3 linked regions of the Stegostoma tigrinum genome follow. The protein of the gene in region 3 interacts with the protein of the main gene of each other region in a pairwise test. Links are inferred from orthologs where the notes say so. Each region holds a gene or a part of one and is shown on either strand. Other genes may lie near its edges. The genes, in order: tfcp2, hsf2bp and cdc73.

Region 1 (3,754 bases), on a different chromosome or scaffold from region 3:
GAAAACTTCTGCACTTACGTAAGCATTATTCAACTTTATGGAACATTTTGAAATGCTTCACAACCACTTTTTAAACGTAGTCACTGATTTTTTTTGGGAAATGTGGCAGCAAACCACGTAATAACTATCAGACGGATTTCTTCTCATTTAAATGGTGTTCAAGGCTCTTTCACGACCCCTCTAAACAGTCCGATAAGGTATTGGGTTCAATGCCTCGTTTGGAAGACAGCATCGTTACCAACTTCGATGACTCTCTCCTCCAGCCGTAGTAAATTTCGTACTCTGCCAGCCGTTTTAAAATGTCACCATGGTTTGCTGCAATTTGAAAATTTGTTGACGACCGTGTATTGAGTTTACTGTTAAAAAATGTTCCTCAAACTATCGTTCAGTCGGTATTTCACTGTTTATATCGAGTTCAAATGCATTTTTGAATGGAATGTTCCATCAGTCACTAGGGATATTTTCCAGCTTTATCTATCAGCAGTGCAGGTCTCCTTTCACAAGCAGAGTATGCGTCAGTTTTGCTCTCCTGATATTGGGTCGAAGATGGAAATTGCTCTATCGGAAAAAGTAGCAGTTGAAGCGACGTTATGGTTGTTAAACCATCTAACACTGACTGAATTGACAGGTGAAGAGTAGTCACTTGGGAAAGATAGCAGCGTAACTAACGAGGAAAGCATCTTGGGAAAAAATAGCGCAGGCAGAAATCTTAGAGTTTCTTATTTATTTACGTAATGTGGACATTCCTCATTATTTGAGTCAAACTGTGGAATTATAAAAAACAAAACCCTTTTCTGGTTCGTCACACTATTTAGTTAGAAAGCAGTCAGCCCAGCCTTCTGGCGGCTTGTGATAGGAAGGTTCGTTATGACGTCAAAGAGAGCAAGTAGGCCAGATTCCGACTGGCAAATGACTTTTGATTGACTATGTAACAGCCAATCAGCGTGATGTGTGTCCCGGCCGGTTCCCAGCGGCGCCATCTTTGATGGGTCGGACATGGCGCGCGGTGAGTGAGCAGTGAGCGCGCCCTTCCCTTTGGGTTCAGTAGCTTCTGATTTCCAGGCTTTCACTCAGCCTCTTCCGCATTGGGGAAAAGAACCTTTATTCTGAGCGCTTTTAACTTCCTTCGAGCGCAACTTGTTTCTAACTCGCACTACTGGCCTTGATTTGCGTGTCGCCATGGCCTGGGCGCTGAAGATGCCGATGCCGGATGAGGTGATTGAATCTGGGTTGGTGCAGGATTTCGATGCCAGTTTGTCTGGAATCGGTCAGGAATTGGGCGCAGGAGCCTATAGCATGAGGTATATGCTTGATATGTGCATGTAATTAGAAAACAGTGTTTCTATACAAGAAGTGTAGAACCCTACTCTCTGGGTATTGAGAGTTATATTCCATTGATCCACACCTCAATTTCCACAGGTAGAAGGGCCCGCCCGTGTTTACCAGCTCGAAACCCATTGAAACTTCAAACCCACATTACCAACATATAAGGTATGTCTACTTAAGACGGACCGTGCATGTTGGTAATGTACGTTACCTTTAAACACTGACTCCTGTATTGCCTCAGGGTTCAGCTTCCATTTCCTCCCCAGCATCTATTGTGAGATAATTTGTGCTGTTTTGCGTTAAAATACAACATGATTACCAGCCAATTGGTGCCCGATCTCGTGGGAATGGGTCATCCAAACCTGGTTCAATGAAAGCAAAATACAGCAGATACTGGAAATCTGAAACAAATAGAAAGTGCTGGAGAAATTCGGACCTAACAATATCTGTATAGAAAGCAGCATACTTAACGTTTTGAGACCAATGTGACTTCAGGACTAAATGTTAACTGTCCCTGTCTCTCTACAGATACTGCTAGACCTGTTGAGTTTCTCCAGTACTTTGTTTTTATTTTAAACCAAGTTCTGTTCTTGGTCTGCATGAACTTGTTGATCTTGGCTAGAGTTATGCTACAGTGCAGTATTCTAACTGGTTTCAGTGGACCCTGGGCTTGGGATGGGTATGGATGCTCCAGATCATTTTTCATTGACTTGTGTTGAAGAAAACAGATGTCCATGTTTTACAGAAGTATGCATGTTATTTGGCTGCAATTGCAATCTGCAAAAAAAAAGCACTTAACGTTGTGATAGCTGTTCCACCCTAAGAATTGCTACCTGGGGAGATTGTGTTGGGAATTTGATTTGGTTTGTACCACAAATTGAGTCCTAGTTACCAGCTTCGTCCCTTTTCTTGGCAACTTATCTGAGATTAAATCAGACTGTTTGAAACCTTTGTGTTGTATTGACAGATTCTGATCACACAGTCAAGCTCTGTGCTTATTTTCATCTCTTTACTATTTAGAATGCACCCCTGCATCAGCTCATCTGCTGAAACCATCATCCATGCCTTCATTACCTCCAGGTTTGACTATTTCACTGCATTACTGGCTGGTCTCAGGCTTTACCCAAAGCGCTGCTGCCCATGCCTTAACTTGCAGCGAGTTGCATTGCGTTATGTTATCACTCCTGGCAGTCACTGGCCTGCATTGTTACCTCACATTGTAACCTCTCAGTGTCTTGACTTCAAAGTTCTCCTTGATTTCAAATTATGACCTCATCCCTCCCTACCTCGGCGATTGCCTCCAGCCCTGCACCTTTGTTAGATATCTGTTGTCTTTCAATTCTGGCATCCGATTTGATTTGAACATTTGGTTTTAATTGGTCATGATTTCAATTACATAATCTCCAATTTCTAAAATTCCTCCCTGAAGGCTTCAACTAAGATGCTCCTTAAAAACTATATTTTTTTCTGCCCTAATATCATCATTTGTGGCTTTGTCAAGGTCTGTTTGGTAATCCTCTCGTTGGTGTGAATGTTGCAAAATTTTACTTGCATCTGATCATGTTGCACGGCCAGTAGAATGAATTTTAGTCTCCTGGATTTAAGTGAGCTGGTTCTTCAATGATGCAGTTTTGATATTTTCAAATAACCTGTTCGGATGAGTTGTGACTCACCTTTGCAGCAGGTGTGACCTGAACCTGGGCTTTCTGGTTCAGAGATGGGGTACAAATACTTGGCTGCAAGAGCTCTAAGATGTACTTATTTTAGTAAACGTGTTGGATATGTTATGACACACCTTTTGGAGTAGGCAGGTCTTGAACTTGGATTTTCTAGTTCACAGGTAGGAGCACTTACAGCTGTGCCACAAGAGCCCATATGACAACATTCTTAGCATGTGAATTCCTCCAGTTGCTTCACTTATTTCATGGTACTGGGGGTTTCCATTTTTCAAAGTCTAACTTGTCGGCTTACTTTGAATCTAATGCTTTAGTCTACGCAGCTCTGATCTCTGAAATGTATTATTTGAATATTGAGTCTTTATAAGTACATAGACAAGTACTTTTGGTTGCTGCATGATTTATTCTAGATGTAATTAAATCAAATTCTAGGTATAATCTGCCATTCACCATCTTAAACTGAAGCATTGTTAATAGCTTTTCATTTCTTAATTTATTTTCATCGCTACAAATGCTTTCTGTCATTTTCCCACATTTTCTTTTACTGTTCTGTGTTGAAGGCCCTTGAAGTATACTAGTTATATTAATTTTAATATAGGGGGAGATTAATTCATATGTTGCAGTTGTGAAATGCTTTGTAGTTTGTGTTTGGAGAACTGGTGAGGACACTGGGCTAAGTGGCCTCCTGTGCTGTAGCAATTCTGTGATTTATATTGACTTAAATGTCTATTAAACTGTCTGAATGAATGGGC
Region 2 (3,754 bases), on a different chromosome or scaffold from region 3:
TTTGGACTCCTCTACCCTGGGGAAAAGACCTTACCTGTTCACCCTTTTCATGCCACTCATTATTTTATTAACTTCTAATAAGATCACTCCTCAGCCTCTGATGCCCAAGGAAAATAGCCCCAGCCTATTCAACCTTATCCTGTACCTCAAAATCTCCAATCCTGGCAACATCCTTGTAAATCTTTTCTGATCTCTTTCAAATTTGACAACATCTTTCCTATAGCAGGGAGACCAGAATTGAATATAGTATTCCAAAAGTAGCCTAACCAATGTCCTGTACGACTGCAACATGACCTCCCAATGATTCCAGTCTCGGGCCATTTTAAGTGTGGAGTTTTCACACTTGCCCCGTGTCTACTTGGGTTTCTTGCAGGTGCTCCAGTTTGCTTCTGCAGTCCAAAGATGTTCAAATTAGGTGGATTGGCCATGTTAATACCTATAGTGTTCAGGGATATGCAGACTCAGTGGACTAGGGAAATGCAGGGTTACAGTGTTAAGGTAGGGTGGGTTAATCTGGGTCAGATGCTCTTCAGAGGGTCACTGGACTTAATGTGCTGAATGGCTTGCTTCTGCACTGTAGGGATTCTATGATTCTTTTTGGGTAGAACTCAACTTTAAGAAAGCTGCAATGACTATGATGGGGTCGTACTATAGGCCTCCCAATGACCAGCCAGAGATAGAGGAACAAATATTTAAGCAGATCATGAAAAGATGTAAAAACAACAGGACTGTTGTCGTGGATGATTTTAACTTCCCCGATATTGACTGGGGCTCCCTTAGTGCCAGGGATTTAGATGGGTCATCTAGGAGGGCTTCTTGGAATAATGTGTAGACGGTCCAACAAAGGAAGGGGCTGTACTAGACCTTGTTTTGGATAATGAGCCTGCCCAAATGATTGATGTTTCAGTGGGGGAGCATTTTGGGTCATTGATCATAATTCGGTAAGTTTTAAAGTAGTGATGGATCAGGAGCCTCAATTGAAAGTGCTAAATTAGGGCACGCCTAATTATGGCAGTATTAGGCAGGAACTGAAAAAAATGGATGCGACTGTTTTGAGGTAAATCTACATCTGACATCTTGGAGTCCTTGAAAGGCCAAATGATCAAAGTTCAGAACGAGCATGTTCCAATGAGAATGAGAGATAAGGATGGCAAGATTTGGGAACCCTGCATGACAAAATGTCACATGCGATTCATGGTAAGTTGGATATAAAGTTAGCTTGGTAGTAGTTGTGGAGGGTTAATTTTCTGACAGGAGGTCTGTGAATAGTGATATTCTGCAAGGATCAGTACTAGGACCTCTATTGTTTATAATATGTGTAAATAATTTGGATGAAAATGTCATTTGTTTGATTAGAAATTTTGCACGTGACATAAAAATTGGTGGAATTGTGTATAGTGAGGAAGTTTGTCAAGGGATACATCAGGCTATAGATCAGGTGGCACAGTGGCTCAGTGGCTAGCACTGCTGCCTCAAAGTCCCAGAGACCTGGTTTCAGTTCCACCTTCGGGGTAGAGTTTGCACGTTGTCCGCGTGTCTGCATGGGTTTTCTCTTTGTGTTCTGGTTTCCTACCACAGTCCAAAGATGTGCAGGTTAGGTGGATTGGCCGTGCTAAATTGCCCATAGTGTTCAAGGATATGCAGGCTGGGTAAGCTAGCAAATGGGAAATGCAGAGTTACAGGAATAGGGTAGAGGTGTGGATCTGGGTGGGATGCTCTTTCATAGGGGCAATGTGGAGTCGATGGGCAGAATGACCTGTTTCCACACTGGAAAGATTCTATTCTATTCTAAAGATCTGTTGAAAAGTTAAGCAGAGAAATGGCAGATGGTGTTTAATCCAGATAAATATGGGTGATGTATTTTGAAAGGTCAAATACGAGAGGAAAGTCTACAGTTAGGGGACGTGATGGCCTAGTGATATTGTCGCTGGACTGTTAACCCAGAGAGCCAGGTTATGTTCTGGGGACCTGAGTACAAATCCTGAAATGACAGACGGTGGAATTTGAAATCAATAAATATCTGTAATTAACAATTTAATGATGACCGTGAATCCATTGTCAATTGTCAGAAAAAACCCATCTGGCTCACTATTGTCTTAAGACCATAAGTCATATGGGCAGAAATTAAGCCATTTGGCCCATCGAGTCTGCTCCAACATTCAGTCTTGGCTGGTAAGTTCCTCAATGCCATTCTCCTACTTTCTCCCCGTAACCCTTGATAATCAAGAGCCTATCTATCTCAGTCTTAAATGTACTCAATGACCTGGCCTCTGCAGCCTTCTGTGGCAATGAATTCCATAGATTCACCACTCTGGCTGAAGATGTTTCTCCCCATCTCCATTCTAAAAGGTCTTTCCTTTACTCCAAGGCTGTGTCCTTGGGTCCTGGACTCTCTGACCAATGGAAGCACCTTCCCAACATCCATTTTGCCCAGGCCATTCAGTATTTTGAAAGTTTCAATTAGATCCCCCCCTCATCCATCAAAACTCCAATGAGTACAGTCCCAGACTCCTCAAACGTTCTTCATATATTAAGTTTTCCATTCCCGGGACCATTTTTATGAACCTCCTCTGAGTCCGCTCTAGGGCCAGTACGTCCTTCCTGAGATATGGAGACCAAAACTGCACACAGTGCCCTTTAGAGAAGAAACTGAAACCTTACCTGGTCTGGCCTACATGTGACTGCAGACCCACAGCAATGTGATTGACTCAGAGCTGCCCTCTGGGCAGTTAGGGATGGGCAATAAATGCTGCCTAGCCAGCGACACCCTCATCCTGTGAATGAATAAAGGAAAAAAATGACAAGACCCTTAAGAGTATAGATGTACAGAGGGATCTTGGGGTGCAAGTCCATGGCTTCCTGAAAGGGGCAAAAAAAAGTGTATTGGGTCATAAAGAAAGCCTATGGCTTGCTTGCCTGCATCATTCAGTGCATTGAGTAAAGTTGATAAGTCATGTTGAGGTTGCATAAAAAAATTTTAGGCTACATTTGGAATGCAGTGTGCCATTGACTTGATATATAGATAGAGCAGACAGCCAGAGACTTTTTCCTAGGGTGGAGGTAGCTATTACCAGCTGTTCCAAGAATCTATCTCAGCGGTACTCCACAAATTCCCTTTCTTGGGGTCCAGTACCATCCTGATTCTCCCAGTCTACCTGCAAGTTGAAATCCCCCATTACAAGTATAGTAATACCTTTGCGACTGGCCAATTTCAACTCCTAATCCAACTTACACCCTACATCCAGACTTCTGTTTGGGGGCCTGTAGATAACTCCCATTATGGTCTTTCTACCCTTAGAATTCCTCAGCTGTATCCATACTGACTCTACATCTCCTGATTCAATGTTCCCCCTCGCAAGGGACTGCATATCATTCCTCACCAACAGGGCCACCCCACCCCCACTGCCCATCAGTCTGTCCTTTCGATAACACGTATAACCTTGAATATTCATGCGCTTACATCCTGTGTGGATCAGCTGGCAGAAGTATTCACTGATATCGTCAGCCTCTCCTTGTTACAATCTGACGTCCCCATCTGTTTCATGAACACCCCCATTATCCCAATACCAAAGAAAATAACAAGCCTTAACAAACTACCGTGCAGTGGCTCTGACCTTCATAATCATTAAGTGCTTTGAGAAGCTGGTCATGGCCCACATTAACTCTAGCCTGATTCAACCCCCTGTAATTTGCCTACCGGTGAAACAGTACCACAGCTGACATCATTTCCCTAGCACTACACTCATTCCTAGAA
Region 3 (3,754 bases):
CCCTTGTTGAGCAACAACAGGGCCTGGAATTCTGTTACGGTTTCCCCTCCAGATTATAATTTATGATCTCAGTTCAACACAGATCTGTAGAATTCTAGCAATGGAAGTACTAGTCTAAGATTCTTAGCAGCCAATTCACCTGCCAATACTTACTGGTTGAATTAAAGAAAACTAAAACGGATTACACAGTTCTGTATAATCAGTTGAAAATGTTGTTTAGAGCTTTGCAAGAATTAGCTTTAGGTAACAAAGCAGCAAACTGGTCCAAAATTCTTAATGTGGGAAAGAAAAATCAAACCTTAAAATATTCACGTTTTTCACTTTGCTTACAGTTCTCAAAAACATTTACATACCATAAATGATTTTCTGGCACAGGGCTCCATTGTAGTCTACGTCACAACTAAAAGCAAAAGCAGTGTACTAACAGATCCTCCTAGTCCTCACCCAATAGCTACCATCAAGAAGTGCAAACCCAACATATAGGCACTGTTTTAGAGTTCTTATTGTGCTCAGGTTTTGTAAGAGTCCTAACAAATTAGTACTAAGTAAAAGGTTCACACCCAAATACAAAACTGTTTGACTGCAGAAATGTACTAAATAGTAACAGGAATCTGTCACTGAAAAAATTCACAACTGTTACTAATATATTTTTAGGAATACAATTAAAAAAGCAGGACTGCTCTTTTTATGAGCTTCACAGACTGCAGGACTGAACAGTTTTGCGTAAAATCAGTTTTACAATACACTAACAGCTCTTTCTACTCCTAAGATCAGCAAAATTTAATTCTCTCAAGACCTGTCATAACATACAGTTCACAGTCTGTGGGATTGACAACAACTTCTTCAGGAGGCAGCGACTGGCACCGCAACTTGTGGTTGAAAGAACGCAGAGCTAACTAACTAATACACTCAGTAATTTGTTAAATAGACAACTGATTCACCAACACCATAATTTACACACTAATCATGGTAGGTAATTAATTCAATAGCTGAGTATTTCACTAACCACATAACTAATCCACTCACTAGAATAACTAATTCACTAAGATCAGAATCAATAATCAAAAATTGGTTTGAAAACAGAGCCAACTTCTCTCTGGTCCATTGCACCCGATCGTTTGGGGTCACCAGCAGCTGCTATAGTTATTGCTGTCCTTCCTGCAATTGACACACGATTCCAAATCAATGTCAAAGCTGCTTCCCAAGAAGGGTACTCATGTTGTCTAACAGCTGGAAACTATCACACACTAAATTTTTAGCAAGCAACAATTTCAGCTGTAGTCCTGCAAATATCTGATATTCTGAACACACTTAATTATCTGATATCAGTATTATAATTGGGATACATCCTATGACGAGAAAGTGTACTCTGTATCAAGCAATCGCAAGGCCTAGTTTTGAAATTTTCTGAAAAGTTACTTTGGAAGCTGTTTGGATGGTCTTAAAATGTGAATCATCTGGCTCACTAAAGCATCCTCCTTTTGTTGAATAACTTCAAAATGCCTCAAAAGCATTTGATGTATTTGGCTTTTAGCAGTAACTATTATGCAGTGAAACAGAGGGGCTGCTTGCATTTCCCAGTCAGTGATACGAGCTAGCATATGGAGAGTGCATTGTTCTTCCAATAAAGATAAAGAGCCCTTAAAATGAAACAGAGCCACCGGAAACAGCACACAGCAATTCGATTCAACATCTCCTCCGACAATCGGTGATTTATAATATAAACTACAACGCATTCAATCTGGTGGACGAAAAGTCTTTTGCACATTTAAGAAACTCGGCTACAACACCTCTGCAAAAGAAAATCGCGTGCGTTTGTTTAAAAAGCAGCTTTGATCAATTAAAGTCAAGCAAACAACTTAACAAAAATTGCAAAAAAAAGTCAAGAAAAGTTTGCGGCAACAGCTTCTTCGCCGAATTTGTTCAGATAGGGGCGCGATCACTCTGATCTGTACTTTTTTTTGTTGCTAAAGAGTGATACAAGTGTCAGTTTCCCCAAGCCACGACGGCTGACCGTACTGAATAAACAAACATAATTCCCTCCATTTTCTGTTTACAATTGACAATGAAAGTGACTTGTTAGGTGATATGATCAGTGAAATTGACAGGTGTCCGCCAGTAGCTCCACTGATCCCGCACATGCTGCTCAAACTCAACTCAACTGCACTCCACTCCACTCACCCCAGGCTGCACCTTCCCCGACCACCCCACAATGTTTACCTTCCACCCTCCACATCCATCCATGCAGCACTCCCGCGGACAGCACTCACCCCCAGATCACATAATTCGTCTTCACATTCTTCGGCCAGGAGAACTCTCCGAAGATGACCTCGTCCCCTTTCACCACAATCTCCTTCTTCTGGATGTTGTATTGACGCAGTACGCTCAGCACGTCCGCCATCTTGCCTCGGCTCCTAACAACCGGGTCCTGAGAGCCTGGGCTGCCCCGCTGCACTGCCTGTCGAGAAGGGAAGAGGGACAGGACCCTCATGCTGCCCGGGCAGACTGCCTGAGCCGGCGGATGGGCAGGCACGGATGTTAGCACTGTGGTCGAGTGGAACTGCCGTCTAATGATCTAAATCAGGAGACTGCAAGGGGTGGGGAAACGAAAACACACGCGTAGGGAAACTTTCATTTTGATGGGGGACTGGTGATCAAGTGGTTGCTGAGTTTGCAGGATCTCCATTGACAACGGCATCTACAGGAGGCGGGGACTGGCGCAGCAACTTGTGGCTGAAAGAACCCAGAACTAACTAACTAATTCAGTAATTTGTTAAATAGACAACCAATTCACTAACGTGATAATTTATGCACTAACCACGGTAGGTATTTAATTCATTCGCTAACTAATCCACTCTCTAGAATAACTAATTCACTTTGTTTGCCTTCGTGGCCCACACAGCTTGCTGTCAGCCTCGATTAAAGTGACAGTATTATTTAAGGTGATGGATAAAGATTCCTTCAATCTTCTGATGGTCAATCTTCTGGTAGAAGACACTAGTTTGGACAGTGTAAGTTTGACCAATAACATTTCGAATTATGAGTCGCAAAGAAGTTTTATACACATTGACGAATGAGAAAGACTGCACATCCTTTTGGGATGCATGATTGTGAAGTGTGATTTTATTAAATACAAAAAAAGTTAATTGACATCAAACCACTGTCAGCATAATCAAATCTATCACGATGCTAATATCTAGTGGTTTATAATGCATATGAGTCAGACATATATGCTGGCCGTATTTAAGACATTTCATGAAAGTGATTTTGATTTAGTTCACTGATCAGCAGTTATGCCTTATTAACTGTAGATTAAAATTTGTGATAAATACCTTCCACACCACTGCTCCAGTGAATCCAGATTTTAGCTTTCATTCTACATTAACTCATCCATGCAGGCAACGTTACCAACCTCTGAAACAAAGAGTCATTTATCACCCTCTTCCAATCAGTCTCATTGCTCTCTCACTTATTCTGAACTCCACAGATCCCTTGTACCACTCGGAATTGACTTTAAAACTCTCACCATTACTTAAAGTTTCTCCATGATCTCACCTAACTCAAAACTAGTGACTTCCAGATGTACTATTACACATCTTCACTAACGATGGCCTTTTTATTTGTCCCTTTTTTCTGCTACACCACCATAATGTGTTCCTTTAACATGAGACTGCTTCTGTTATCTAGCTTCCTGCACATAAGCACCCTGAAAAAAATTCTATTAAGCTATTTCCTTAGTTCCTCCCTCAATCTC

Evidence for each region.
Region 1: the proteins of cdc73 (region 3) and tfcp2 interact in binary tests that used the Homo sapiens proteins (3 or more experiments, as listed by UniProt). The two-hybrid records come from large-scale screens. The link is inferred for Stegostoma tigrinum from reciprocal best matches to the Homo sapiens genes CDC73 and TFCP2.
Region 2: the proteins of cdc73 (region 3) and hsf2bp interact in binary tests that used the Homo sapiens proteins (3 or more experiments, as listed by UniProt). The link is inferred for Stegostoma tigrinum from reciprocal best matches to the Homo sapiens genes CDC73 and HSF2BP.

The regions. Positions count from the first base shown.
Region 1 is NC_081404.1:6,119,665-6,123,418, forward strand, and holds the start of tfcp2 (transcription factor CP2), read left to right. Parts: upstream 1-972; 5' UTR 973-1,179; coding exon 1,180-1,301; intron 1,302-3,754.
Region 2 is NC_081365.1:280,870-284,623, forward strand, and holds the start of hsf2bp (heat shock factor 2-binding protein), read left to right. Parts: upstream 1-1,098; coding exon 1,099-1,197; intron 1,198-3,754. UniProt on the Homo sapiens protein: Meiotic recombination factor component of recombination bridges involved in meiotic double-strand break repair.
Region 3 is NC_081361.1:34,777,815-34,781,568, reverse strand, and holds the start of cdc73 (parafibromin), read right to left. Parts: upstream 2,448-3,754; 5' UTR 2,402-2,447; coding exon 2,271-2,401; intron 1-2,270. Other genes in the region: glrx2 (glutaredoxin 2), read left to right, coding at 2,946-3,011.